4 linked regions of the Schizosaccharomyces pombe genome follow. The gene in region 2 interacts genetically with the main gene of each other region. Each region holds a gene or a part of one and is shown on either strand. Other genes may lie near its edges. The genes, in order: alp13, rrp6, sla1 and trm1.

Region 1 (8,064 bases), 980 kb from region 2:
TTCTCCTTTAAAGATGACTTTGAAGCGTGTTTAGACTTAAACGGCTTCTTAGCTTTAAACGTTGATCGATGATGATGAGCCATAATAAAGCGTCCTAAAGTGAACCTTAAGAATATATAAAATCTCTTTTATAAAGATATACCCTACAACGATATCAAATTAGCTAGAACTATTTGAGTATTTTTATAGATTTTCCGAAGTTGCAGTACAGAAGCCAGACTACCCCAAACAAATTTTCACCAAACCGTATTTCCAAGTAGAAAAAAATTTAACCACTTTCCAGTACAACGTAGTAAACAGTCGTCGTAAAGTGGAAGTTGGTATACGAAACGAAAAAATTATTTTACAGCCTTTTGTTTGGTGTTTAGGAGAGATAGGTAAGTTTTCGTTAAAATATAACGCACGCCACGGTATATTTATTAACAGGTATATCAGAACAAGATTTTGGAAGAAAGAAAATAAGTAGTGTAAATTTTCTCAATTATTTTATTGAATATACATTAATAGGCTTCATAAGGAAGATGGTTAGAAGAAACATATTTCTTAGCACAGCCGTAATGTACGACTGATCCACTTGTTAAATGAAGGTTAGTAATTAAAAAAAAATAATAAAATAAAATAAAATTACTTACTCGGGAAAAATAGAGATGACACTTTTTCCAAGTCGTTTGTGACAAAACAAGCAAGTTTTCTCTCGGGTAATTACTACTTTTTCAGAACGAACTTTAGTCAATTCCTCATTCAAATCTTCCAAACGTTTTTGATATAATTTAGATTGCGTTTCTTTATTACTCAGTTCTTCAAATAACTGGCGAAATTGAGAAGAGAACAAAGAATGATAACTTTTCATAGATATGTTTTTTGGCAGTAAAGGAAAAACTCTGTTTAAATCCAAGCGTGAACTGTACTTTGTTATAAAATCTAAAATGTTTAGAGAACCGGATTTGTAGTTCTTAGATATTTCAGCAAGTAGCATATAATACGGTTCTGTTTCCCCATCAATGGAATAAACAGAGTTACAATAAGATAGAGCACCCTCCCAATCATTTAGTATTTTTAAATAGACATCCAATGCATCCTGATGCCGTGATAATCGTCTATACAAAATTATCGAGACAGTAGAAAGGAACTCGTCTTGGGAGTTAATTTCTTGTAAAACGACATTAGCATCATATTGTTTTGAATTAGTCAAATAGTCTTCTAATTTTTCGATGGTTTGTTTAAAAACTTCTTGATTTTTGAAGTCCGTTGTTTCTTCCAGCTCTAAAATCCTCTTCAAGTATAATAGAGCTAGTCGAGTTGGAAAAACCGTATCATTAAATTTATTATCCAAAAGCAATTTCTCCAAATAAATGATAGAAACCTTGTACGAAATGGTCTCAAGATACTTTAAAACAACGCCTTTTGAGATTGTGCTGGCCTCGGAATTTTCGTCAATAAATATTACTATAGAATTTTGAGGATCTTCACTTAGTGGAACACGGCTGTATTTAAATATAAGATGATCAAGTTCCGGCGACAGTTTTTCTAAATAGGAAAGTATAGGCTCATATTTGGAAGTTGTGTTAGATTTTCCCTTTAAAGACAATGTATCTGTAGGCTCATCACATAATTTAGTTAATAAATCCAAAGCGGCTTCGTGGAGTGATTTTCCATAATAGTATTCAACAAGTTCACGATACATTTTAGCAGATAGTAGATTTGTTTCTACTACCGAAGTCTCGCATCGATTTGGTAATCGAAGTAAAGAACCCACTAAAGCTGGCGATGAAATCATATAAATTAAAAATAAGGTGGTATCGATTTGAACAGCAATTTTTTCTAGTTTCTCTTTAGCAACCAATGTACCGTCAGCATTTAAGAATAAGTTTTTCTTCTGTAAAAAATAATGCTCTTCATCATAACTTAAAAATCGATTGGCTTTACGACGAGAATCCGTCAAATATGTACTCAGGGAGCGAAGGCGCTTATTATTTGCAACTGTTGAAACTGCATCGCCATTGCGCAAATCTGTTTGAGAATTTGAATGATTGCCCGGGAACAGTACATTAGACTCAATGGATTCATTTTGTGAAGGAGCCATCGAAAGGATGCTTATAGCATCAGAATAATTATTATCCAAAAGCCCTGGAAATAAACCTAATACGGTAGATGGAGATTCCGAGATCTCAGAAAATAAACGCATAGCCAAATCGTAATCACCAGAAGAAAAAGAGCGCAGCGCTTTCTCCCGCTTAGTAATTCGCAAATAGTAATCGCGCTTAGGAAATTGCGATACTGTAATTTGACTTAAAACGCTGATAGCTTCATTTAAATTTTCGGTATTAAGAAGGGCTTCAATTTGATTGCTAAAATCTTCAGGAGTTAAAATCCATACATAGGAGTTAGAAGTGAAAAATGTGTTTTTATGACAAGAAAATGTTGAATAAATATTACTTATTCCAATTTGCTGAATCATTGCATAAGTCTCTTTGTTCCAAATATAAATGTATTGGTTGTGTAAAGTGATTATATATGGAGAGTTATAAATTACAGCTTGAGGAACAGTGGGCCACCGGAGAGGGTTCCGAGAGACTTGTAAAGATTTAAGATTCACAAGTAATCCTTGTGAATCTTTAGACAAAAGAACCTCGTCATCAGATATTCGAGTAATGTGCAATTTGTTTGACTTTATGGACATTCCAATATAGCTTATACCTAAACCAAGAGAAGAGGACTGTTGCCATGCTAAATTAAGAGAAGAAATCCGGGATGTTTCAGTATTTACAGCACAAAAATCATTTGAAAGAGACACAAGAATCATTGTAGGAGATACCCAAGCAAGAGACCTTGGCCGGTCATTAAGTGAAATGGTTTTTGTGAGGTTAGGTTTAGAATTCTTCTGTATTTCGTAAATTTCCAAATTTTTTTTGGATGAAAGTACAATTAATTCATCACCGTACAAACACATGTTCTGACAATGTGCTCCAAACGAGAAAAGTTTCTTAAAAGTCGAAATTTGATAAACGTAAACTTGAGAATCTAAAAAAGTTAATAGTTATAACTAAACTAGTTTAAAAAAGTTTACCAGATAAAGCATAAAATATATCTTGCGTAGCGCAACTCACGACTTTTGTTATAGGCTTTTTCGTAAAATTAGGATATACATCCACATGTTCCATGACGAAGTCAGCTATTTATAAGATTTATTAATAATTATTTTTTTATAGAAACAATTCCATACCTGCTTCTTCTTCTTCATTGTTATAGATTTTGTAACTATCCAAATCACCATTGCTATTCGACACATAAACCAGACCTCCTATTATCCATTAGCATTAAGGTCCAAAAGTAAAATAAATCATACCTAACTCAAAAACGCATTCAACCCGAGCTTTTGATAGCTCTAAAACACGGTATAATGAAAATGCTCTATGCATTACCCTTCAATAAGCATCAGACAAAATAACTTTGTGCTAAAACGTAAATTTGGTCCAGAAAAAAATTGATTAAGAGAAATATAACTGAAAAACAAAGGAGAATATGTTCAAGAACAAGGTCTGGTTTAGTATGACATTCGCTAACTCAAGAGCTCGTTGAATGTCATAAAAATATTTAATACATTAGCAATTGCTACCTTAAACAGCTCTTGATTGTAGCATATAGGAGAGTTAAATAGTAAAGAAATAACTTTCTTAATAAACTGGATTGCTCAACTCTATAATATAAATAATATGAGAAGATTTTGCTTTATATTATTAGTTAAATAGTTGCTTTCTCTACTCTTGTTTATTTCCCGGGTAAAAAGTTTGCTAATGTTAGTTCCAGTTAATAATAATGTCATTGAAAACCATTTATTATTTATTCAATTAGGATATATCTCAATACTTTATGCTCGATATCCAATTGTTACCAATAATTACACCAAAGTTTTAAACAATAAACAGGGATATAAGAAATTTTTTGCTTTCCAAGTAGCAACAGAAATAAGGTCATTAATAATGACTTTTCAAGGAGGTACAGAAACTCCATTGCTATTGCTGGGAGCTGGCCAAAATCCATCTCGAATCCAACCGGCTTTAAGAACAGCAATCTGGTGAAAAAAAGTTTTAGTAAAGTAGCAAAAAAACGCAAACAAAGATAGAATTTTAAAAAAGGAAAAAAATAATAACCGACTCAACTTACTACAATGCTTAATTTGACCGGACGCTTCAACTTTTGCCTTCGATAGACTAGTGCTTCATAAACATTGAGATATACATTTTCAGGAACTACAACTTCATTCGATGAATCAGTTTCTTCGGTAGATTTTTTCCCTAAAAGCCATGAAGAGCGCCGTTTATGCCACTCTTCTACTCCAATTCCTAATTCTGTCGCATTACCAGAATCCATTATATTGGGTAAAAGGACCGTCAACAATTCACCGTTGTGCACGCCACATTTTAAATCGAGATTGGAAACTTGATACATTTTAATAACAATCCGTTAGATATAACAAACTTATTCATTTCATTTGTTCTGTTAATTTTGCAAAGTTGCTTTTTACTGCTTCGTATTAATTTCGAACAATCAAACTACTTATTCCGCAACACTATATGCTTAACCATCTTTTTTACGCTTATCATTTTCTTCTTCAACTGGTTTGATATCCATATTTTCACTAGTGCAAAATTTTCGATCATTCTAAAAATGAGTTCGAACAGTGCTGTTCAAAGCAAAAGTCCTTTGCTTCCTAAAGAAAATCCGCCTGTTAAAGCTTTTCCAGATAATATACAAGTTTCGTCCAGCTTATTGTCCTTCTTAATTTACATATTATATACTTTTTCTATCAGTGGTCTCTCGACTTTCGTTATTACAAAAGTAAGTACACATTCTTAGCAAGTTGTGGTTAGTTTTTATATTTACTGGTTCTTATTTACGTCCAACTCACCAAATTCTAGTATTACATACGTCCTCAATGGTTATACACATTGGCCCTTAGACGGGCACTCATAAAGCTTTATTACAATTTTATGGATGGATTCAATAAGCGGACTGATACATTACAACATCGGGTTGACGATAAAAAAATTTTAAAAACAATAGAAAAATGGAGTTGTATTAAAGAAAAATTGAGAAGAGTTGCCAATATAACTGAACAGGAGCAGCAGTGTATCCCGGCAGAAAGTTCGTTAGACCTGAGCATCCAGGCAATGAAAGGTGTCGTAAATGCAGAACTTTATCAGTTTGGAAGTCAAATTTCTGGATCTTTAGAATTTGATACTCCAATTGGCAATTTGCAGAAGCAAATTGTCTCTTTGAAGAGCAAAATGATTAATATCTGAATATTAAGGAACAACATAATAATTGCATGAATTCTCTGAATGCCTTATGTTGGTCCTACTGCATTCTATAGATAATAGTGTATTATATCTCAAAAAGAAAACGTATATATTTTAGATTACCGTTTTAGTTATCTTTGGGATAGATGCAAACGATCATAATTTTATACACCAACCAAAGATCTATAGTTTGGAGGGGCGTTTTGATATTCTTTAATAAAATATTCATCTTTATGTAGAACGAGATACCTAAATAAATGGTTAGTATAGTAGGGGAGTTTAAAAGCAGTAAACATACTTCAAGAATTCTTCAATGTAATTCAACAAACACTCGATGGATTGTGAATCCATATTAGTCCGGTCAATCAATTCAGGAAGGCTTACAAACAAGCGAATTAAATGTTCGACGCCATATAAATCACACATTTCAGTATCAGGATATTGCTGCCGAATTTCTAAATATTGCTGCCGTTCAAACCGATACAGCAGCATATTGCCCAAGCACTTATTAAAGTATATAACCAAACCAGCCATCGCTTGTTCAAAAACATCAACGTCTATTTCATTGTTCAAATGAGAAATCTTGGATTCTCGGAAGGCCGCTATAGCAGCCCGGACGGTGGGATTCCGCGGTATAGCTATTAACTGTTGATTTTTGGTAATGTTTTCCCAGTCATCAACAAGCCATAGCTTTAGAACGTCCGGGACACTAATCTTGTGTTTTGGAAGCGGTGGCTCTTCCTCAAAATCGTCTTTCTCGTTATTCTCGGGCTTAGTAGTTTCCTCGTTTTTAGCATCGGTTGTTCCATCGCGTTTCACTTGTTGAGGAATTGGAGACTCTGATTTTTGGGTTTTTATACGTGAAGGCAATTCATGTGAATCGCCATCAACCGTTACGGTGCTCGATTCTCGAGACCTCTTTCCTGATGTTTTAACTCCAGTTGAGTCATGTTTCGAAGTGCTGGATGCGGACTTTTTAGAAGTCGGTTTTTGTCTCGTAGAGATAGCGGCATTTTTTAACTCTTTCTGAGTCTTTAAATTTTCTTCTGTCCATTGTAGTATCCTATCTTGTTCAACCCATTCATCCCAACTGTTTTTCCATCCTTTATAATGAATCAGGTACGTGGTAACATCACCTTTCATTTCAGTATCAACAATTTTAGCCTCATAGAGTAACGGGCCGTGAAAGCATAGTACACGTTCATTCACCTTATATGACACGGCCATTCCAACAACGTTGTAGGTATGGTGGTGAGTTAGAAGTAAGAGGACGTGTGCCAAAACAGTACACTTAGCAAATTTATCCTACTTTGAAGGAGTTAGCTATTTTGTTTTAAAAATTATCTAGACCCATTAACAAACGGTGGGTGTAACAGGATACTATCTAAGCAACAAATTCATTCATCTGCAAAATGCTTGGAGAAAGTGCTATCAGTAAGTTACTGTTTTAGGATTTTTAATGATAAATTAAAAATAAACTTTCATTATGTTCAGCAAATACGTCCCAATACGCATTATAAAAAATGCTTTAGTCAAAAGGATACTTTAGGAAAAATTAGCTTTTCTACATGAGTTTTCATCAAATGCTGCGTTTCATTTATTCAATTTACTAATATCTCAAAGGTTGCTCATGAATATGGAGGAACAAATACTTAATGATTATCTTCTTTCTCAAGGGCGGTTGCAGTCTATTATAAGCTTAGAACAATGGCGGCAACTGTTTCCTCAGAGATACAGAGAAGACCCACTGATTGAGCGTTTATACGAATACTGTACACAACAAAGACAAAAGCGATTAGCAAAATTGAGAGCTAACATCCATCTCGAGAGTCAAGTTATCGGCAAAAGCAGAATAGATAGGATGTTGGCAACAAATGTTGAGAAACTGCAAACGGTCAGTCATGCCTCTACATTGCACGATGTAGAAGAATTTTACACATCACATAGTGCAAAACCGCTGGACATAAGTGAAATCAATGAGCGGCTTTCTGAAGCTGTGCAATCTGCTTATACAAAATTAAATGAGGAAAAAGAGCGCTGCACACAATTGACTCTTAAAATGAATAGGTATGAGGTTGATTAGGAATTTGGGTTGTTTTAATTGAGCTTTATTTAGCTTGCTAATAATTTCTTTCTAGTCAGATTGCATCCCTTAGCGATTTTCAATGGTCAAAAGAGCCAAACGTTGACGAGTCAATTCATCTTGTAGAATCTTTAATTGAAAGTTTAGAAAAGGCAGCACCTTCTGCAATAGAAGAATTAGACTAGGACCTTCAAACGTTAAGCTGTTCCATATTTATTCAATAATATAGCTTTAACGGGTATTTATTACAATGAATGAATTTTTTTTTCTTTTTAATAATTAAATATAACGTTATTCTGCACCTTTTTAATAAGATATATCTGTTCCTTTATAAACTCATTTCATTAAAACCTGTTCAAAGTAATGCGAATATATTTTCTTCAAAAGCATGCAGTATTTGTTCCATTTGACAAACTACATTTTAATAGAGTGATTAAAATCAGTTATCACTAACTTGTCGTAGCACGCATCCGAACCATGACTAACACAGTATAAAAGATGGAGCAAAATTTGCAAACATAGTTTGTAACACTTTCGCCAAATTCTTGATTAAATTAGGATAATATTCAATTTTCATTTTTCTTAGCATAGAAAGATTGAACTGTCAAATTTTTGGTGTCCGCAACATAATCTGGCATTTCTAGGATTTTGTTTACTTACTTGACTTCTATATAAGAACTT
Region 2 (9,433 bases):
TCAAAAGCCGAGGAATTCGCCTTTAAAAATAAATTGAGCAAGGAGTCTGCCATCCAATTGAGTAGCTGTATTCGCAAAACACTTTTAGCACCTTCTTCGACTCGCGTACCTAGCAAAAACTCGTCTTACGAAACATTAACTTACAGCGCCAAAGATAGTTCGGATGACGTTTTTACAGAAACTAACTCTGGTTTCCGCTCTTCAAATCAAAATTCGTCCCTCAAAAGCTTTCAGAGTGTTCCTGATAGCAATGTGAACGTGTTTGGTGGCTTCGGTGGATCAGTAGTCGACAACAATGAGCTATTGAGCACAGGAAAAAACTCCCATCAAACAACCTCTTTAAATTTGGAAGGCTCTCCTATAAACTTACACGCTTACAAAGGAACTGTCACTTCAATAATTAACGATGACAGCAGAAACATTAATAAAAAAACATTGTCGAAACAACCTGTATCCGAACATAAAGAAAAACAAACTAGCTTTCTCCGTCGTTTCCGGGTACCTGGGTTTTCTCGTGACAAGGATAAAACTAAAGATTGCCCTTCTTCAAATTCGAACCCATTCCATTTAGCTTCTTCAAATGTGAAAACATTAGACGCGTCTTTGGATCAAGGTGAGTGGGTACCTCGTATTCATCGTTTAGAAAGTCAAATTGGTTTAATATCCAAAAAGAAGTCATTTGTTCTTGCTACTATGGATGATATGAAATTCACAGTAGTGGATATTACCAACGTCCAAAATGCTACTCAGCTACGTAAGCTAATAGCTAAGAGTATGTATTTAGACATTTCAATTGACCAGTTTGATTTGTTTCTCACGGAAGTCGGCGGGGCTCAATACATAGAAATATTAGATGATAGAAAGCTTGATATTGCAAGGCTTTATTCTGATGAATTTGGAACTATTAAATTTTTCGTAAAGCCATCACAAAATGAAGAATCGGGTATGGATAGTGATACTTATTTATCTTTTGGCACAAAATCAAGTTCAACTTATAAAGCTGATGATGACTCAATATATCATCGCAAGGAAGATTTTAAAAAGCAACCAAGTTACCCTGTGCTTACTTCGGATTTTGAAATTACTGATGCAGGACCTAATTTATCATTATCAGGGCATCAACCTGATAATAAATACTACAAAGGTTTTAGTTCGGCACCGAATTTGGCAGTTGTTCCAGAATTACCATCTCGACGTTTTCGAGGGTTTGAAAAAATCCGTGGTGCTAAAGGAGAAATGGCTACAAAAATTTTGGATGCCACTGAAGCCCAAAGTGAAAAAAACAAATTTACCGTTTGTAGACCTCACAAGAAGGTCACATTGAAAATGCCACTTAATTCCGGCTCTTCCGCTCCCCAAAGTCCTTCATCTAATACTTCTGCTTCTGTTTTAACTAGAAATTTTGTGGCACATAGAGATCCTCCACCCCCACCCACAGAGACATCTAGTTTACGTCGAAAAAATACATTGACTCGTAGACCAAGTATTCGTCACGCTCGGTCCTCTCCTTACATTGATACCGGACATAACGAAGCTAGCAAATTTTCACATACGTCTTTTGACCCCAAAGCATCTAGTAAATCTTCTAATTCATTAAAGGAAAGTGTGGAAGCTTTATCAGAAATACCTTTTGAAGATGCGCCTGCACTAGACGAATCGGATCTTTCTGGGGATCCCTTTTGGGCTATACAGCCCAAACAATCTTCCTCCCAAGTACCTAAAGAAAATCATCACAACATTCAATCCAAACTTTCCATTAACACAGAGGCTGCTACGGATTTGAAAGCAAATGAACTATCTTCGCCTAAAACTCCTGAATACTGTAGAGGTGATGACAGATCCATTAGTTTATCACCGTTATCTTATCGTTTAAGAAAGTCCAAACATATTCGTGAATCCCCACCGTCTTCAAAGGTTATCAATTCTGGTAACTGGGAAGTTCGTCCATCTGCTGATGATCTTTATGAGGATGTTGATCGATTTTTTCCCCGTTATGATTTGGATAAAGTACTTGTAGTGGACCAAAGCCGCATGGTTTCTTCCCCTTCAAAGGTATCGATACGTCCGAAAATGAAGTCTGTACGATTATTAGCCCGCGAAGCATCTGAAGCTCGGAAAGAAATACGACATAACGCGAGACGCAATAAATCTGGAAATCTTCTACGTCGATCAAGTACGAAACTTTGGGGCTCTAGGATTGTAGAACTAAAACCAGATACTACTATAACTTCTGGATCAGTTGTTTCACAAAATGCCACGTTCAAATGGATGAAAGGAGAATTGATTGGAAATGGTACTTATGGTAAGGTATTTTTGGCTATGAACATTAATACGGGTGAATTGATTGCAGTAAAGCAAGTTGAAATACCACAAACTATTAATGGCCGTCATGACCAATTACGCAAAGATATCGTGGATTCCATTAATGCAGAAATTTCTATGATTGCCGATTTGGATCACTTAAATATAGTGCAATATCTGGGTTTCGAAAAGACGGAAACGGATATAAGTATATTCCTGGAATATGTTTCAGGTGGTTCAATTGGTCGATGTTTGCGGAATTATGGTCCTTTCGAAGAGCAACTGGTCCGTTTTGTATCACGCCAGGTGCTCTACGGGTTGTCTTACTTACATTCTAAAGGTATTATACATCGAGATTTAAAGGCTGACAATTTGCTCATTGATTTTGATGGAGTTTGCAAAATTTCAGACTTTGGAATATCTAAGCATAGTGATAATGTGTATGACAATGACGCAAACCTGTCCATGCAAGGATCCATCTTTTGGATGGCACCTGAAGTAATTCATAATGATCATCAAGGATATAGTGCTAAGGTCGACGTCTGGTCCTTGGGATGTGTAGTGTTGGAAATGTTAGCTGGTCGTAGACCGTGGTCTACAGATGAGGCTATCCAAGCTATGTTCAAGTTAGGTACCGAGAAAAAGGCGCCTCCTATTCCTAGTGAATTGGTGTCTCAGGTATCACCCGAAGCGATTCAATTTTTGAATGCATGCTTTACTGTGAATGCTGATGTAAGGCCAACCGCAGAGGAATTATTAAATCACCCGTTTATGAAATGTGACGAAGAATTCAACTTTAAGGACACGAATCTTTACGACATGCTTTGTAAAAGAAAGAGCTAAATTGGTCGCAATTATTATTTATTACTTAGCGTTTCCTCGCAGGGGCATGCATTCTCAATTTCTTCTTATAGCTATTTATTTAATATTGAAATTAATTTTGAAAATTATTACATTATTATACAAACAAACATACATGATCATTTTCAATTTCTACAATGTATTTAAAAGTAAATTTTCATTTTGTCAAAATTGTTTCGTTTATTTAAAATTAAAACTGATATTAATAAGATGTACTCTTCCCGTCTGAAACCTTCCTTTTTTTGAGTTCCCTAGTATTTCGCTTTGGTAAACTTACCTTGTTAAGAGGATTAAAACCCCGTTTCCCAAATTTATTTTTTCCTACATCAGAGTCTAAGTCAGCAATAAAATTCTTTTGATTTTTATAATCAAAAGGTGCTTCATTGATAATTGGACTGTCATTAGAAACATGTTCGGCTTCAATAGTAAGTTTTCCGCTGTTCTTCTTTTTCTTCTTTTGCTTCCGTTTTTTTGACACTGAAGTTGAAGCTTCCGAAGGTTCAATATCTTCATTTCGCTCCTCTATGGGGTTTGAGGGTTCTTTATGATTAAGCTTAGAAGAATCCCTTTTTTGCTTGTTCAGCCCTAAATCCCTAATGACTATAGGCTCTTGTTTCTTCTCTCCATTCAGACTCGGGTTTGCAGCTTCAGTTACAGTGGACTGCTTTACATTCAATTCGGATTCAACATGCCCTTGAGTACAAGGAAGAGTTAATGAAAAAGGAATATTCTGGTTCACTATAAAGAGTCTCTCTTTACGAGCTTTCCGTAAATCATCTTGCGACTGTCCCTCAATCCAAAACGCAGATCCATTTGCCAGCAAAGTCTTTAGTTTACTTCTATTTTGTTTAGAAATCTCGAAAACACTGGAGTCAACTTTGTAATCACCCAAAGTATTCGATTCGGAAAAAACTGCTAGCGGTTGATTTTGCTTCTCAACTTCTTTAAATTGGGATTTCTCACGATCTACTTGCTCATTATACAACTTTTCGGCTTCTTGAACGACTTTAACGATATCTTCAACATACATGCGAGCAATTGGTGTCAATTGCTTAGAAATTGAAAACACATCAGCCGCTTCAACCGGTTTACTGGCGGCAATCGCAATAAGTAAACGATTTGGCAACACATAGCGAACACTTTCATCTTCTTTTCGGGCTACGGAATCTCTCCAATCGTGCAGTGCTCGATAAATCATCAAAGCTTCCCGTCCAATTATTTTAGAAGAGCCAAACTTAGTAAGTACATTTCTCCAGCCATCAGTACCAAGTCCATAAATAGGATCATAAGGCTCAAGTTCATACTTTCTAAGAGATATTTGTTTACTGGAATTGAACACTGATTGCATAAGATTTTCTTTTCTTTCAGCTGATTTTGATATGAGTTCATTTCGTAAATGATCCCAAATATATAACAAATAATGCGTATCAGATTGAGCATATTTTAACATTTCCCGAGGCAAAGGACGGATTCTCCAATCAGCCATTTGGTATCTTTTATCTGCATCATAATCACAATACTTTTGTAACAGAAAAGCCAGACCATGACCCTCAAATCCTAAAACTTTAGTAGCATAGTATGTATCAAATAAGTTTACAACGTAAAGCCCGAAATCTCTTTGCAGCCAAATGATATCCATAGTTGCACCATGAAAAACTTTAATGATATTTGGATTAGTAAAAACAACATTCAAAGCTTCAAGCTCTTCGCGGAGTTCCAAGGTGTCAACAATCCAATCTTTTTCTCTATTACTAATTTGCATTAGACAGACGAACCCTCTAAATGATCTGTAATCATGGTGTTCAAGATCAACGGCTATTTCTTTGCTGTTTTGTAATTCTTTTAGCATATCCGATAACTGACTTTCAGTACTAACCCAGATAGGTTCTGTTTCGTCGACAGAGCCAGTATCGATGGGATTAGACATTTCTGAAACCCATGGAGGATATACGCTATTTTGTATTTCTGGTTCATATGGATGTGGTAACGAGTTTTTGAGACTAGGGTCCAATTTGACTTGAGCGATAATCTTTTCGAGCGGTACTAACGAATGTGGTTTTTCAGTTAACTTCCAAGACCACACAAACTCCCTGGAATTATTAGGCTGTACTCGAAACCTTAATTGAGGCTTAGTAAGATGAGCTGCGTGAATAACCTTGTAGGGCAACTTTTCTTTCTTTGGTTTTTTATTGGCAACATCGCTTGTCGACGCATGGGTTTCGATCGCTGGCTTTTTTAAAAGTCCTTGAGCTTTATCGATAGAATAGTCCTATATTCATACGTCTTAGTTAAATAAAATCCGTTTACAATTTCAAAAATTCACTTACAGCTTTTTCAAAGAGTATGTCTAATGTGTCCGATACTTCTGCCCATCTATTATCTATATCTTCAACGTCCACAATATCCTCCGCCCGACTTCTGTCTACTTTAGAAAGAAGCAATTCAATTAATCTCATAAAACGAGAAGAAACACTTTTTATGTTTTCATTGAATTCGGTATCAATTGATTTATAAAACGGTATATCAACCTTTGCCAATTCAGAGCAATAGGCTGTACTATTCATTAAACCCTTAAACAATTCTGACTCATCCATTATGCTATTGTTTACCCTACTGGATCAGTAAGGTTTTTGGTTTGGTTCAGGAATTTTCAAGCACTTTTACCACACGCTCAACGAATTACCGAACTTGAATATAGACATCGTTAAAGTACGAAATACAAGAGCTATTTTTATATATATAAAATATTTTACACAAATGCAAAATCTTAGCAGAATTATGTAAAAGCAATTATTTATGATTAGTTCAAAATTGTGAAACTATTAGCAGGCAACTATAGAGAGGTCTTTTATAATATAGGCATTCAATTTTGATCAAAAAGTAAAAAAATAATCAAAGTAGATGAATTACAAATTTAAAAACTTCGGATAATCTAGAATGGATGAAACAATCAAATCAGTTGGATCATCGAGCGTCCTTTTTTGGAAAATTAATGAACGATATATGTATTGAGACCTTCTATAAGGATTAAGAATTGTAACAGCAACCATCCCATGATGTTGATGATGGATCAACACATGACTTTCGAAATAAAATATTTATATATGCTTCGATCTATATACGATAATTTCGTCGAATAGTAAACCGTAAGTAGAAGGAAGTACCTGAGATGCTGAGTAAAAATAGAACGAAGACCTTTAAGAACTAAAACGCAGAACAAAGTTGAAAGATCGGCAAAAACTCTACACACTATTACTCTTATCAAAGGACAAACCACATTCATCTATTCTAGCAATTAAATCCCGTTCGGAGAAAGAAGTCTAATTTTTGTTCATCCACTGTTCTTCATGCCATGGACCGGCGTCAGATAGTTCGCAGCCACCTGGACATTGGCAGTTTCCACCGAGTTTAGCAGGAAGATTATCAGCAGGGATTTGTTCGAGCAGAGCACTCTTATAGTTTGAGCCTAAAATATGAATTTTTTTGACAGTTGCCTCATCCAAAAAACCTTTGATAAGATTAAAGGCAGAAGAGAATCCCCAAGGAGCGTTAATTACATAAAACTTGCCCATCCTTTCGGGGTAATAATCTTGACTCTTTAACGTGTTAATACTTGAAAAAAAAAAAAAAGAACAAAAATTTCAACATTTTCAACTTACAATGCTTGATGCTTGACGAATGTAGCTGTAAACCGAGTGAATACTAGTAATACCAACACCCTTTAGATCCATGATTGTGCACGAAGTTTCAATCAAGCCTCCTGCTTTACGAGAACAAGCGGGCTGAAGACGGTTAATAAAGATGAAAAGAAATATCAAAATGAAAAAATATATCACAAAAAATTCAACACAGTAGAAAACCAAAAGTTTTTCTATTAAAAAGCCGAAAAACCAGCCTTATATGGAATATGCAAATCCAAAGGAAAGGTTTGATTATGAGAATTACTGGAGATACATTTAATCATTTGAATTTACTTACAAACCGTTTTAAAGCAAGCATTTCATATTCATAAACCAAATTTTGCATCATACGCTCGGGAGTCGTGATTTGGTACAACTTCTTCAAATCAATGTTACCGAGTTGCTCAACGTATACCGGACGGCCGTCGATGTCAGTTTTATGATAAAATTGAGGGTAATATTTGGAAACGGCTTCTTTCTCATCATAATGAAAGTTTTTGATAAGATCATCAACACCAAATTCTTTTCTCCACTTTTCGCATTTAATAAACATTTCCAGCGACTGTTGCAAATTAAATTTACGGGCTCTCAAAAAACGCAACTAAGAATCCATTAGTACAAACACAAAGTTTCCTGCTGTACAACTTACTAAAGTGGCATCGTCTAATCTTTCCGTGTATCCAAGTTTTTGTAACTCTAAACGCATGCTATCTAGCGTAGCTTGCTGTGTAGAATTCAAATGCCCTGGGTGCCCTAATGGAGCATTTGGATTAGTTAGAGGATAAGGATCCGATATAGTTTCTGACATCTTTTTGTTTAGACGATGGTTGTAGAGAGAAGACCTAATGACCCAGTCTGTACAAGATGTATAAAGGAAAAGGAAGAACGTCAGCGACCTTAATACTAGTGGTCATCAGCCGTGGGGGATCAGTCAAGCGTGGGGGCCTTTTACCTACTACCGCAGGAACCTTTGTTGCCATGCTACACCCAACGCTATTGTTATATGTGAGTATGAGGATAAACTTCAGTGTTAAAAATCAGATGAGAGGAAGAAGCTCCTCGTATGAGGTTTAAATTGTGTATAACCAATTTTTCAACTTGCATGAAAAGTGCGACAAATTTGAGATGCAGAATGGCCTTCAACGAGGCGTTGAAGGTAAATAAAACATGGGGAAAAAGTGACAATTTAACTTTGTGGAAGCATTTTTTCTTTACCAAAAAAAACGAACGATAGATAATGTTTATTTTATTTAAGCCTTTGAGTGCGCTTGTGGTGATTTTCTGTCATCAATATTTATGCACCTGACAGCTTTGAAAGAGTAAACCAGGCACTAAGAAGCGTTATAGTACATAGAGTATAGAATATGTAAATGGATGATCATATTGCGATTTTGAGATTGTTGTCTATGTAAAAACGGTATAGGAGTATCGTAGCTGGATATTTATGTGAAGTAAAACAGTTCAATTTTATGATTGTTCAGTTTTCGTATTATAAATGAGGAGTAGAAAATTGTCATAGAGTTGTGATTAAAAAAGAACTTTAAATAAGCAAATATAGTAAAGGAAAAGAAATTTTATTGCAAATGGAAAAATATTTCGTGAATAAGCAATTTAACAAAAAATACATATTGAAACGTAAATAAAGTAATACTATACGACATAAAAAATAAAATAAAATAAAATCTAAAGAATGAATAAAATAAATAATAATTAGACTAACAGCCACTTAAATATATATACAAAATTTTTTTAAAAACTAGTTTTGTCTCGCAAACGTAATTATTGTTTCCTTCTCTTTCGATCGAACTTCAGCCATAATTTTGAAAGCGTTTCTTCCACGCAAAGTTTAACAAAACATACAAGAGTGAAAGGCATTGCTTGAATGGACAGTCCATTTTGTACTTGCATAAAATTTTCAAGTTAGTATCAAATTTTCTACATGTTAGCAATAATACATTTATTTACATTGATTTTACCTTTAAAGACCTATAACAATATAAATTTTTGATTATTATATTAACGTTACGGAAGGATAGTATAATCGTCAAAATATCGTTATAATTTAACAAACGAATAAATGCAGGAAACAATGCATTACGCAAGCTTGTTACTAAAGGCAGGAAGCATAGTTTGAATATAGGATGAAAACCGTGGATATCAATGTTATAAGCATTTAACATTGAATAAGTATGGTAGAGGTGAAAAGAATCAGTACTACGTTTCTTAATTGGCAACCTTGCACCTCAAACCCAGCTGAAGTGTACTTTGCACACGAGTCTATTACTACATGGTTTTTTTATACATATTAAATAATAGCAATGGTTATTTGAACTGCAATAACGGTAACCCTACCCCGATATCTCCAAGTTTGAAAATTTACTGCTTTTATGAAAATTTAGTTTACAGTTTGTTTTGGAAACGATTATGCTATCAGTGCAGAAGCTGAAAAAAAGAAAATTTCGGGATAGTAAAATTGTTTTCATGTCATTTCCCTGGCGGTGGTTTTGAAAAGCCCGAAGTTCCATTCATTTGAGTGGCAACTTAATTTTTCATCTATTTAAAGGATGCAATTTTAGTACCACTCCGCCGTA
Region 3 (4,249 bases), 770 kb from region 2:
TGAGCTTATAGCATATGACGAAGAACAGCACAGTGCATAAAAAACAATAACTTTGTCAGTTAGATGTTTATTTTCGAAATAACGATACTTTCTACTACGGTTTGATTATATATAGTAATAAAATCAGTCATAGCCCAAAAATGAGTATAAAACAAAGATTCAATTTAATTCTGTTTCAAGTAGCTTAAGCAATGTCTCAGTTATAATTAAGCTATAGGAAGGTCAACTATTTTTGCTTCACTATATTTTGTATTCTGAAGAACATATTGATGTGTAGGATCGATAGCGTAGCCCAGTCAAGCAATCGAGAACTGTAAACCTATGTTGACTGTGCAGTCGGAAATATGTGAAAGACGCATGGTTCTAAGGTTGATATTTTTTTATTTTTACTGTTAAAGTTGATTCTTGTATGGTTGATATCCACCAGAAATATACAAGTTCTTAATTCAGTCAATTCTGATCATTGCAAATTCCACTGAGAACTTCTGAAATGCAAGCTTGGTCGTACTGGTAAAGAAATAGGACTTAATATTAACTCATGTGAAATTTAAAATATTCAGTACGATACATTATAAGTGATGAAGCAAAAAACTATTGCTATTATTCAAAACCTTTAAAATTCGTATAGCAAAACTTATAGCCGAATATTGTTACGATTTAAGCATTAAATTACGAGGTCATATTGTACAAAATAACTGCATGAAACGACTATTTATTCATCCAAAATTCCTAATATAACCAATCCGAAAAAGTTTATTTGTCCAGTGTCTTTGAAGTATTTGTAAAACAAACAAACAAACAAAATTAATCCATTTTACTCCGAAGCGGCCGAAGGCTTCTCTTCAGAAGCGTTAGATGACCTTTGCTTCTTAAATTTTCTTCCTCTGTTACTATATTTACCAGGACGCTGACGATCCATCTCTTTAAAAGCGTCAAAACGTCTGCGTTTGCTGCTAAACTTTGGTGGATCGTTTTTATGTAATTCAGCTTTCATGTCAACATACTCCTTTTTGCTCATTATAGTGAGCTCGTCCTCGCCCCATTTCAAAGGTGCAGTTTTGACTTTCTCAAGAAATTTATTAGCAACATCGGGTTCCTTGAATTCAACAAATACGCTTCCCTTAAATTTTTTATCGTCATCCCTTCTCATACGGACAGCACTAATGGGACCAGCATTTTCTTCAAAGAATTTTTCCAAAGCAATTTGAGTGTCATCTTTTTCATCACCGAAACCTTTGCAGTAGACACTTCTTTCCATGACGCTCTTGTTGTCTACACGAACTAGAGGAATCATACGACGTACTTTTTCGCCAGCTTCATCGACTTCAAGAAGTTCAGGACTCTTGCGAAGAGCATTTACAATGGCTTCCAAAGGCTGAAAACGACGCATACGTTTGAAATTAGCAATTGTTTGAATGGGAACCCATCCATCATTTTTTTGAGAAGTAGTCCATAAAAATTTATCATGGGGTAAGTTGGTGTCCGAAAAATAAAATTCTATTCATACTGTTAGTAACGACCACTCAACACAAAAAAGGTTTTAATCCAACGTAAACAAAGTGTGTAACATACCAACTTGCTTTAAAACTTCAGCTTCATCAAAAGATAAATCTTTTTTTCCATCATCTTCCTTCTTTTCAGTAGTTTCCTCCTTTTTTTCTTCACTAGTAGTATCTTTTTGACTTTCTACTACTTTTCCAGCTTCCTCGGCCTTGGGAACCTCTGAAGAATTCTCCTGCTTAGATGAGATGTCCTTAATTTCTTCCTTCTGTTCTTCAGTTGACATGATGTTAATTATTCGTAGAGAGACAGGCAAAGGGCAAATTTCATAAGAAGTTGGATTCCTCTCCTAGAAGCATTTCTAACCCTACCCTATTATCGAACTGACATTATTTTCCTACTCATGAAGACAATGTTAAAAGTTGGCACTTAAAAAAGAAGTAGTTTATTCATAATAGATTTATAATAGATAGAATAATCCCATGAATTTCCATTGTTTTTTTTTTTGAAAAGATTAACAGAGATTGCTCCTTACAATGTAGCTCTGGATACAATTTAACCATAATGACAAGCAGTAGCTTTTAGTTTTCCTATTTATGATTCTTTACCGACAATTGCAATATAACCTATAATATCAAGATTCCCCATTCGAATTATCATTTAATATCCACTTTATTGTAGAACCGCTAACTATTAAAACCGATGTAAGACATTAATACTTTAAACTTACTCCATTTGTTGGAGTCATTATATGTTCGTTACGAGATCACTATCAAATGCTTTAATTGAATAATTTCAATTTCATATTGTTGAAGGATTTTAAATAGTAAACGGAGCGCCTCGAAAATTTTAAATTTCCTTTATAACTGACATAGGTGTAAGATTAACAATTTCTTTCTCCATGTTCATAACGTCTTCTTCAGGATTAGATGCATTATCGGAGGGTGGAGATTGTGGTTGATTATTTTCGTCAGATGTAGTCGATGGTTTCTCATTAGTTTCGGCGTCTTCCTCTTCAGACTCCCCTACCATATCTTGATAAATTTCGGGGTGTTTTTGAAAACAAGCCTGCATAGCTTGAAATTTGTCAAGACATTCCATACCTTTTGGTTCACTCTTGGAATAAACGAAGCAACTAAAAGCTGCTTTGAATTCTTCTCCACATGGACCATGAGCCATACCTCCAAGACAGGGACAATCCCAGTTAATCTCTCCAGTATCCGGATTAAATGCTGACTCCTCGCTGCTCTCCTCCTCCACTTCCTCAAATTTCCTAGCATATTCATCATCATCTTTACCAGTGGCTATTTGTTCTCGAAGTATATTTCCAGCTGTCTCCCCGCTGGATTTTTCCTTATCAGTTTTCTTCGGTGCACTATTCTCAGTAGCGCTGACCTTGCGGCCTTTCTCGTCAGTCGAAGGTTGTGTTTCACTTGTCATTTTCTTCTCAATGGCATCTTCAATTCGGTGTCGCTGCATATATGGTTCATTATACGCTATATTGTTAGTTAAATTCATATAATCGTACAGAAAAAGATAGCCATTTCAAACATATGATACTTACATTGTGTTTCCGTATGGACATGTTCGCCTACAACAGGATGGTCATTATCTTGACTCGATGATGCATTTGAAGTGTTTTTTCCAAGTAAATATCCAGCAGTCAAAGAAGCAGCTGCAACGCCAGATACAATAGGCAAAAAACGGCCTTTCCATACATCAGTTTTGGTTGCAGTACCAAATTTTCGACAAATGCCTGCTTGAAATCCATTTCTCTGCAGTAGAGACCTTCTCATATTATTGTAACCGTTAATCCTTATACATTTTGGAAATCTGAAAAGTAAGTTTTTAGCAAACATGGTTTTTTTGATTTATGGGAAGTTGAGCTCTGAACTTCTAATGTCTGCGTAATGGTCAGAAAGCGGCGACGATCTTACAAGAACGTAACTTTGTCATTCATTCTAAGTTTATATAAGTTTGCATGTTTTTTAAATCAGATTTAAGTAAATAGGTATTCACAAATGTAAGACAAGCAAGACTGGCAGGATTTACGAGATTACTAAGAAATGCCTGAATGACTAATTTCATAATAGAATTAAACTAGCGACATAATAGTTTCACAAGCAAACTTAGGTATGCAAAACAAAAGGTAATTCATTTATAATATTTAATTAGAAGAACGTGAGTATTATTTTCTATAATATGTTAAATTTTTACTATAATAATGTACCAGTAAACGACACTGAATTTTTTCTTTAAAAGAAATATACTGACATCCCAATCTATTCTTCCTTGCCAATTATGTCAACCCAACGTTTGCCCTTAAGCTCGGCAAGAATCTCTTGCTTAATCTTGTGAGCAATTACAGGACCATCATATCCCAAAGCAGTATAAACTTGAACCATAGTTGCACCAGCACGAGCATACTCAATAGCATCTTTGCCAGAAGAAATACCACCACAGCCGATGATGGGAATATCGGAAGAAAGATGCTTACGAAGTGTGCGAAGAGTATTTAATGCGATAGGTTTGAGAGGAGGTCCAGAAAGACCACCCGTCTCTTCAACATGGCTAGTTGATTTGAGGGTCTTAGGGCGTTGAACGGTAGTATTACCAACGATCACACCGTCAATCTTGCACTTTTTGAGGACATCGGCAATGTCCGTGAGTTCTTCTTCGTTCAAATCAGGTGCAATTTTTACAAGTACGGGAGGATGAGGAGAGTTCAATTTATTGCGCTCACTGACAA
Region 4 (8,558 bases), on a different chromosome or scaffold from region 2:
TGAAATTTTGGTCCATTGGGTTCATGCAATTTCTTCCTTCGGGTTACCTCTTCATCTCCTTTATTTGTGTAATTTGGTAAGTATCTAATTAGTTGATTTTCATTCAAAATAACAGGCCTGCCAGCTGTGTATCTTGGACTAGTGATATTGATAAATTTTCGTGTCTGAAGCAACCAAGGAACACTTCGTCCGTTTAGACGCAATCCCATCACATTTATAACTTTTATTGCATTAAAACGATCCAATATCGAGGCAGGACAACATTTCATGAGCAAACTGTTGTTGGACGAGTTAGTACCCCACCAACGAAAGTAACAATACCAAAAATTGTTGAAGCAAAAGAATTAAGAAAATATTTGCACCTTCTTTAAATAATTATGTAAAAAAGAAGAATACGGTTAAACAATAAATCATTTTAACATTGCTAATTGTGTTGCGGATACTATTAGTTTAAACAAGTATTTAGTATGGAATACACAAACTAAATCTTTTTTGTACTAGCCTGTTTATAATTTGCATAAACCTTCCGAAATAACATAAAGAATGAAATTGTATGTACTATCCAAAAACCTAAAATACAAGGAGTATTTAAACTGTGCTCCACTTTACCTAAGATTTTGAGTCAACTTCAGCGATAGTTCTTTTACCAGGTTTACTTTTTGGGCCCCAATTTTCAGTTGGGTTCATTTGATATCGAGTATAACCTTCTTTTTTGGATGCAAACTCGGAATCGGGCCTGAATGTAAAATCAACCTCAGCTGTGGGAGTTTTTTCCAAAATCGCTGCTCCAGCAGATGTTTTACTAATATTTTCAAGCTTCACTGGATGATCTTTAATCCAAGAGCGCAAAACATCCCAAACGAAGGACCAGGGAGCATTTGTTTTAATTGCATTACTCTTGGCATGAGAACCAGAAACCCGATATCCAGCGTTTAACAAAGCTGAAACAAATATATTTTGAGGAGGAGATTGGGAGCGCAAGACGCTACAAATTTGGGATAAAACAAAATAAAATGGAACATCTGGTAGTTCTTCATCAGCCAAAGCGAGCATACCTAAGATTCTTCGTTTAGTGCCATAGACTTCAGGGTCTAAATCTTCTGCAATGGCGCGCATTTTTTTGAGAAATTCTGCATCATGTAGGGGTCCACCCCATAAAGGGCCTCCAACATGATGCACATATCCACAATGTTCACAGTTAGCAGATACAGGAGGCCCCGAAGCATTAGAGAATTTGGTGGTTCCAGGTAGTCTTCCCGGAGAAGTTTTTCCAAGTGGTTGCTCGGCAAAGCTACCGCAGCCTGAACAATGGTATATCAATAGCGATTGACTTTGTAAATTTTTTACGAGAACAGGCTTTGCTTTAATTTGAACAAATACGCGAAAGTAAAAATCAATACTTAGGGAAAGTAGCGGCTTGATAGCGCGACCATATTTTGCAGCAGAAGCTGCAATAGCATAAAGCAAATGACGAACAGCCTGCTCATGACAAAAATTAGAGCGCAAAGAGGACCCACCATAATTAGAAAAGCATTTCTCTGGATATGCATTACCGGCTAGAACAGCTGAATCAGTACATGTGATGCATAGAAGACCGTCCTTTGAAACGGATTGTACAGCAGCATCCAGAAACGGGGCAGCAGATCCATAAGGATCAAGGTCAATCACATCGTAATGAAATTTGTTCATATGCATAACAGCATTAGCGTCTCCTTTATTAGGAATTACTATATCGCTCACATTATTGTAATTAACATTCTTCTCGATGGTTTTCACAGCATTTTCTAATAAATCATTTGCAAGTATCCTTTTGACATTTGGCAACTCCTTAGCATACCGAATGGAACGCAATCCAGTAGCGGAAAGTGCTTCTAAAATGGTAAATCCAGCAATATTATCAGCTGAAGTAGAATCTGTCTTTTCCGAACAGTTTTTTTCAAAATCATGAGTTGTATCACATTTAGTAAGATTTTCTTGGCTAAGTTCGGAGTTTTGATCGAGAAGCTGATGCCGGTGATGAGATTTTGCAACAATTTTTTTGGATCTAGTTTCCGACCAAGCACGAATAGCTGTAACGCTTAAATCTCTATTAAATTGTTGTACGGGGTTATAAAAGACTTCATTCGGATTTGAAAATGGTATAATTGCACTACCCTCGGTCAAACTTGCAGAAGCCCCCGACATCATGGCGGTTGAGAAGTGATTCACAGCATTTGAGATCCTTTGACTTAATCTTAGCATATTGGCTTCATACATTTAATACGAATTAAAGAAAAATAATCGTTAAAAAAAAAGAAAGTATTGATTATTTTTGAGAGTAAATTTGCAGTAATTCATTAAAAAAATACGAGATGTGATAAGTCAACCATAAATCGAATTACAAAGTATTGTATAATACATGTAATCTTGTAGGTTTAGGTAATTGACAATAAGGATAATAAGTAAATGGTCTTTTAGTCTATGACTGGAAAATAACTTTTCTTAGACGTAGTAAATTAATGAAAAAGAGAAAAGAACTTGAATAGAAATACTTCAGAAATTAGAACTTCGTCATTACATTCACTGAAGTAGCCATTTAGATTTGTAAAGTATAGAGTAACGAAAATCTAATTAAACATATTAATTTATTATTGCTAAATAGGTTATCAGTAATCAATAATATTTTTTTTTTGCTTTAACTTATCTAAAAACCAAAAATAACTAGTCATCTAAAAGTCCTCATCGATTGTAAATGTATGATCATCCTTCTCAGCGCGCTTGGTACCCGACATAACGCCAGCAATTTGGTAGTCAGAAACTTTCTTTTCAAAGAAATTTGTTTTTCCTGCTAAAGAGATATTCTCCATGAAATCGAAAGGATTGGTTACGTTATAGTACTTGTCATTGCCCAAAGCAACCAACAAACGATCAGCAACAAATTCAATATACTGACACATCAAATCCTTATTCATACCAAGCAGACTAACGGGAAGAGCGTCCGTGAAGTATTCTTTCTCAATATCAACAGCTTCAACAATAATGGCTTCAACAACCTTGCGGCCTGGTCTGTGCTTCAAATGACTAAACATCAAACAGGCAAAGTCGGTGTGAAGACCCTCATCACGACAAATCAATTCATTGGAAAAAGTAAGACCAGGCATAAGTCCACGTTTCTTAAGCCAAAAAATAGAGGCAAACGATCCAGAAAAGAAGATACCTTCTACAGCAGCAAAGGCAACCAAACGAATTGCATAGGTGGAATCTTCATCATTAATCCAACGAAGAGCCCACTTGGCTTTGGCCTTAATAGAACCCATTGTTAAAATAGCATCGAAATGACGCTGTTTTTCCTTAGGTTCACGAATGTATGTATCAAGCAAAAGTGAGTAGGTCTCAGAGTGAATATTTTCAATCATAATTTGGAAACCATAAACACAACGAGCTTCAGGGATCTGAACTTCAGAGCTGAAACGCTCGAGAAGATTCTCATTAACAATACCATCTGACGCAGCGAAATAGGCGAGTACAGTGGAAATAAAGTAACGTTCATCAGCATTTAACTTGTTATCCCAATCAACCAAGTCTTTCGAAAGATCAATTTCCTCAGCAGTCCAAAAAGATGCTTCAGCCTTCTTGTAGAATTGCCAAATTTCGTGATACTTAATTGGAAACAAAACAAAGCGGTGAGGATTAGGGCGAAGCACAACTTCATCAAGCTCATCTTCCTTTTTGCCCAAGTAGTAGTCGCCTCCTTCCTGTTTCTCTTCTTCACTTACATTATCAAAGTTAAAGGTTTCTTTAATAGATTTAACATAAATTTTACGAACACCTTGTTCGCTATCATACTCGACTTCTTCACCATGTTCCTTAGGATAACTGAATTCTTCGAGATGCTCAAGGCCCATTTTGTAAGATTAATAATGAGATTTCGTCCAAACTGACCGGATTTATCTGTATATAGAATAAGTACAAAAGTTTTCTTCCACCGCGATTATCTCTTGCGATGTGGCTTCCCAAGATGTGTTGTGGTTAATGGCAAAACTTTCAAAGGTAGGTTATCCAATGTAGTGCACAGTATTGTAGTATATTCAACACCACCGTTTTTTTTGTGGATGTTAATTTGTCGCACTTTGGGTATGATAACACAATGAATAAGAGTGAAGGCAAAATAGACAAAATGCTGCCTTATTTTACAGAGTGGAAAATTGCAGTTAAACTAAGTCAAAGGCTGATGGAGATGAATAACGTTGAAAAAAAACAATGTACTAATTAATATTTGGAGACAAACGCAACGAGTAAAAAAAATGAAATAAATTCGAAGACAATCTCAAATTAAATGGGAAAAGCAAGGGCTTACTTCCTTTCCCTTCTGGTGTGTTATAATAACGGTTTCTTAAAGCAGGAAATTGTAGCTAGTTAATAGAAAAATGTGATAGCTTAAATCGAAGAATTCGATGCTAAGCGTGGAGTCGAATAAATTCAATTATTTAGGCTCAAATAATTGAAAAAATAGAAATGAATTTATTACTTTATGTAATAAATAAATTATTAAATTTCTCACTTTTTGTTATAATTTAATAAAGTAGTTTTCAGTGTAATACTTAAGACGCGTCAGGGTACCTCAATTTATGTTGTAGATGAAACGCAATGATATCAGCCTAGTAGTACGATATGATGTTAGAAATAAATATCTCTTCACAATCTCCTTTTCATCCGAGATGTAGAGCGCTTTATAACTGCTCAAATATTACAAATCACGAAACTTCTAATGCGACGCGACCGTACATAAAGACATTGCTTAATTAAAAAAAGATAAGCGCGACAGAGACCTAGCCACATACTGTGAATAATTTTAATACCTTGATCCTTTCGTAAAAAAAAAAAGAAATACTTATATTCGTCTATTGTAAACAGAAAATAAATAAGCATTCCAATAGCACGTTTCTATTGCGTGTTGTGCTTTTAGGTACAGTTTACAATGTGGTATAAAACAATAAAGAATTTTCTATATTCATTCTTCACTGATGTTTGAAATAACCGAACAAAAAATAAAAAGTTCCCTACTCGAAGTTTTTATATTGTTGATATCGCATTTCTTTTGAGAATTTCCCTGCTAACTTACTTCATAAGTTTTCAAAAAAATTTTTAAAAATAAAAGTGAAATAAATTTTAGGCAGTAGTCTAAATAACTCTCATGTTTAGAAATACAAAACGTGTAGAAGAAAAATAGGAAAAATTATGGATAGCTAAAATAACAATCGATTGAAGCAATGAAAACAATTAGACATACATTTATGAAAATAAAATGACCAATTTATTGTCTGGCAAAATGATTATTATTAATTTAAAACAAATAAACTGTTTATTTATACATAGTGAATACTCTCCAAAAAAAATTTCTAACAGTACTACATAGTGGCTTTTAAAATCAAACTGAATGTTTACTTTTGCTGCGAGAGTAATAAATTAAAAAGGAAATATGTAGAGAATCAAAAAAATTATACACTGCAATTTCTTTAGAGTCAATGACAATTTGTATATGCCCTAAGTTACAATATTTACATTTTTGTTACCTTACGAGTTCGCGTTGATTCATACTACCAACTAACTAAAACAACCTAAAGAAGAACCTTTCTTGGTATCTTACCCTTACTTAATACCCTTGCTTTCTTTTTGAACCTTTATATTTTTTGCTAATTCAGCAGAAAAGTTTTGGGATACTTTTTTGGTTTGAAAAGCATGGCACTTCCCACCATAGATTTAAAAATCCCAGAGTATGAAGAATGTCAACATAAAATTACGGATTTTCTATCCCACTTCAAGCAGGAACAGGTTCAAGATGGACAACAAAATCAGGATATTTCGATGTCGGATGCAGGTGATGAGCCTTTTTTAAAATCAAAGTATATGGATATACTACAAAAAATCTCCAATCGAGAGTCAAATGTTATTAATGTTGATTTGAATGATTTGTACGAGTTCGATCCAAGTGATACTCAGCTTTTGCATAATATTGAATCTAATGCTAAACGGTTTGTTGAACTTTTTTCGCAGTGCGCAGATGCGTTGATGCCTCCTCCTACTGTGGAAATTAATTATCGCAACGAAGTACTTGATGTAATTATGCAGCAACGTGTTCAAAGGAATGAAAATATAGACCCTGAGCATAAAGGATTTCCTCCTGAATTAACCCGAGGTTATGACTTATACTTTCGACCAGTAACTCGCAACAAAAAACCATTCAGCGTTCGTGATTTAAGAGGCGAAAACTTGGGATCTCTTTTGACTGTCCGTGGTATAGTTACTCGTACAAGTGATGTTAAGCCTAGCTTAACTGTAAATGCTTATACATGTGATCGATGTGGGTATGAAGTGTTTCAAGAAATCCGTCAGAAGACATTCCTTCCAATGTCTGAATGTCCTTCGGATGAATGTAAAAAGAATGATGCAAAAGGTCAGCTTTTCATGAGCACAAGAGCCAGTAAATTTCTTCCTTTTCAGGAAGTAAAAATACAAGAATTAACGAACCAAGTACCTATTGGCCATATCCCTAGATCATTAACCGTCCACTTATATGGTGCTATCACTCGCTCTGTAAATCCTGGCGATATCGTTGATATTTCTGGTATATTTTTGCCGACTCCGTATACTGGTTTTCGAGCAATGCGCGCCGGGCTCTTAACCGATACTTACTTAGAATGCCATTATGTTTCACAAATCATTAAAAATTACACAAATATTGAAAAAACTCCTCAATCGGAGGCTGCTATCGCTGAATTAAATCAAGGAGGCAATGTGTACGAAAAACTGGCCAAGTCCATTGCTCCCGAGATATATGGACATGAAGATGTTAAAAAAGCTTTACTTCTGTTGCTTGTCGGAGGTGTTACTAAAGAGTTAGGGGATGGAATGAGAATTCGTGGTGACATAAATATTTGTTTAACTGGTGATCCTGGTGTCGCAAAATCTCAATTATTAAAGTATATTTCGAAGGTTGCCCCGAGAGGAGTATACACCACAGGTCGTGGATCTTCAGGTGTTGGTTTAACTGCTGCTGTAATGCGTGATCCAGTGACGGATGAAATGGTTTTAGAGGGAGGTGCCTTAGTACTTGCTGACAACGGTATTTGCTGCATTGACGAATTTGATAAGATGGATGAAAGTGACCGTACAGCAATTCATGAAGTAATGGAACAGCAAACTATTTCAATTTCAAAGGCAGGAATCACTACGACTTTAAATGCTCGAACAAGTATTTTGGCCGCTGCGAACCCCTTATATGGACGATATAATCCGAAAGTGGCACCAATCCACAATATAAATCTTCCAGCTGCACTGCTTTCCCGGTTTGATATTTTATTTTTAATTTTAGATACTCCTTCTCGTGAAACAGACGAGCATTTGGCACAACACGTAACATATGTTCACATGCATAACGAACAACCTAAAATGGACTTTGAACCATTAGATCCAAACATGATTAGGCATTATATTTCTTCTGCTAGACAATATCGCCCAGTCGTACCAAAGGATGTATGCGACTATGTTACTGGTGCTTATGTTCAACTTCGACAAAACCAAAAGCGTGATGAAGCCAATGAGCGTCAATTCGCTCACACTACTCCACGTACACTTCTCGCTATTTTGCGAATGGGACAAGCATTAGCTCGTTTGCGTTTCAGTAATAGAGTGGAGATTGGCGATGTTGATGAAGCTTTGAGATTAATGTCTGTTTCAAAGTCATCACTATACGATGATTTGGATCCTAGTTCTCACGATACTACTATTACCTCGAAAATATATAAAATTATTCGAGACATGCTTAATAGCATACCAGATGTTGAAGGCAATGAACGCTCACTTACACTACGTGCTATTCGTGAACGCGTACTTGCTAAGGGTTTTACTGAAGATCATTTAATAAATACAATACAGGAATATACAGACCTTGGTGTTCTTTTAACTACAAACAATGGTCAAACAATAATGTTCCTCGATCCGGATTTACATATGGAGAATTAACAATTTACTAATAGATAACTCCTATCATTTAATTTTTCTGCCAATTAATTGCTTTAAGCTAATTTACAACCTATAGAAATTATTCTGAGACGTCAAACTACTTTTCTGTTGAATATTCTTTAATTCTGACTAATACATCTGTCGTTCTTTTAATCTATGATAGTTTATTTACTTGTATTCAAATGTTAATTCACGCAATTGAAAGGAAGATATATTAAGCCAATATGTTTCGTTAGATTTGGAAGGACCATAAAACCTTAAGATACGTGTCAATATGCTCGAGTCGTAGGAATGAGTAATGAGTTTTTATTTCTTGACATTTAGCATTATTTTACACCTTTAACTTGTTCATCACTGCTGTCCCACCCTTCCTGCTGTCATGCCGAGTAAATTGCGAATAGAACTTTACGCACTTCCTTAGAGCAACCAACTTTGGATACCCATTGGTGTCAAGAAATGGGCATTCCATTTTAAATAACTTACTTTGTTTTAACGTCTTTTTAATACTGATTAATTCCATTATAACTAGTTTGCCGGATCCACTTCTCCGTAAGAAT

The links.
Region 1: of rrp6 (region 2) and alp13, changing one enhances a phenotype caused by changing the other (phenotypic enhancement), as found in Schizosaccharomyces pombe (one study listed by BioGRID).
Region 3: mutations in rrp6 (region 2) and sla1 are lethal when combined (synthetic lethality), as found in Schizosaccharomyces pombe (one study listed by BioGRID).
Region 4: mutations in rrp6 (region 2) and trm1 are lethal when combined (synthetic lethality), as found in Schizosaccharomyces pombe (one study listed by BioGRID).

Annotation. Positions count from the first base shown.
Region 1 is NC_003424.3:1,582,025-1,590,088, forward strand, and holds alp13 (Clr6 histone deacetylase complex, chromodomain subunit Alp13/Eaf3), read right to left. Parts: upstream 6,554-8,064; 5' UTR 6,528-6,553; coding exon 5,599-6,527; intron 5,550-5,598; coding exon 5,465-5,549; 3' UTR 5,304-5,464; downstream 1-5,303. Other genes in the region: ribosome biogenesis protein Tsr1, read right to left, coding at 1-83; guanyl-nucleotide exchange factor Vam6, read right to left, coding at 501-573, 633-3,021, 3,068-3,172, 3,224-3,301, 3,347-3,419; SPOM_SPAC23H4.21 (uncharacterized protein), read right to left, coding at 3,989-4,072, 4,165-4,449; SPOM_SPAC23H4.13C (uncharacterized protein), read left to right, coding at 4,669-4,839, 4,920-5,303; centromere localized protein Cnl2, read left to right, coding at 6,931-7,367, 7,439-7,568.
Region 2 is NC_003424.3:607,209-616,641, reverse strand, and holds rrp6 (exosome 3'-5' exoribonuclease subunit Rrp6), read right to left. Parts: upstream 5,795-9,433; 5' UTR 5,757-5,794; coding exon 5,490-5,756; exon of another isoform or gene 5,432-5,489; coding exon 3,365-5,431; 3' UTR 3,304-3,364; downstream 1-3,303. Other genes in the region: MEK kinase (MEKK) Mkh1, read left to right, coding at 1-3,144; spo20 (sec14 cytosolic factor family, phospholipid-intermembrane transfer protein Spo20/Sec14), read right to left, coding at 6,483-6,758, 6,822-6,944, 7,141-7,443, 7,492-7,650.
Region 3 is NC_003424.3:1,381,728-1,385,976, forward strand, and holds sla1 (La-motif domain-containing protein), read right to left. Parts: upstream 1,822-4,249; 5' UTR 1,787-1,821; coding exon 1,573-1,786; exon of another isoform or gene 1,498-1,572; coding exon 815-1,497; 3' UTR 681-814; downstream 1-680. Other genes in the region: disulfide relay system thiol oxidase subunit Mia40, read right to left, coding at 2,350-2,996, 3,065-3,359; mitochondrial dihydroorotate dehydrogenase Ura3, read right to left, coding at 3,783-4,249.
Region 4 is NC_003423.3:3,717,081-3,725,638, reverse strand, and holds trm1 (mitochondrial tRNA (guanine-N2-)-methyltransferase Trm1.1), read right to left. Parts: upstream 2,257-8,558; coding exon 610-2,256; 3' UTR 501-609; downstream 1-500. Other genes in the region: mrh5 (RNA helicase), read right to left, coding at 1-269; ribonucleotide reductase small subunit Suc22, read right to left, coding at 2,709-3,884; MCM complex subunit Mcm7, read left to right, coding at 5,719-8,001. UniProt on the Schizosaccharomyces pombe protein: Dimethylates a single guanine residue at position 26 of nuclear- and mitochondrial-encoded tRNAs using S-adenosyl-L-methionine as donor of the methyl groups.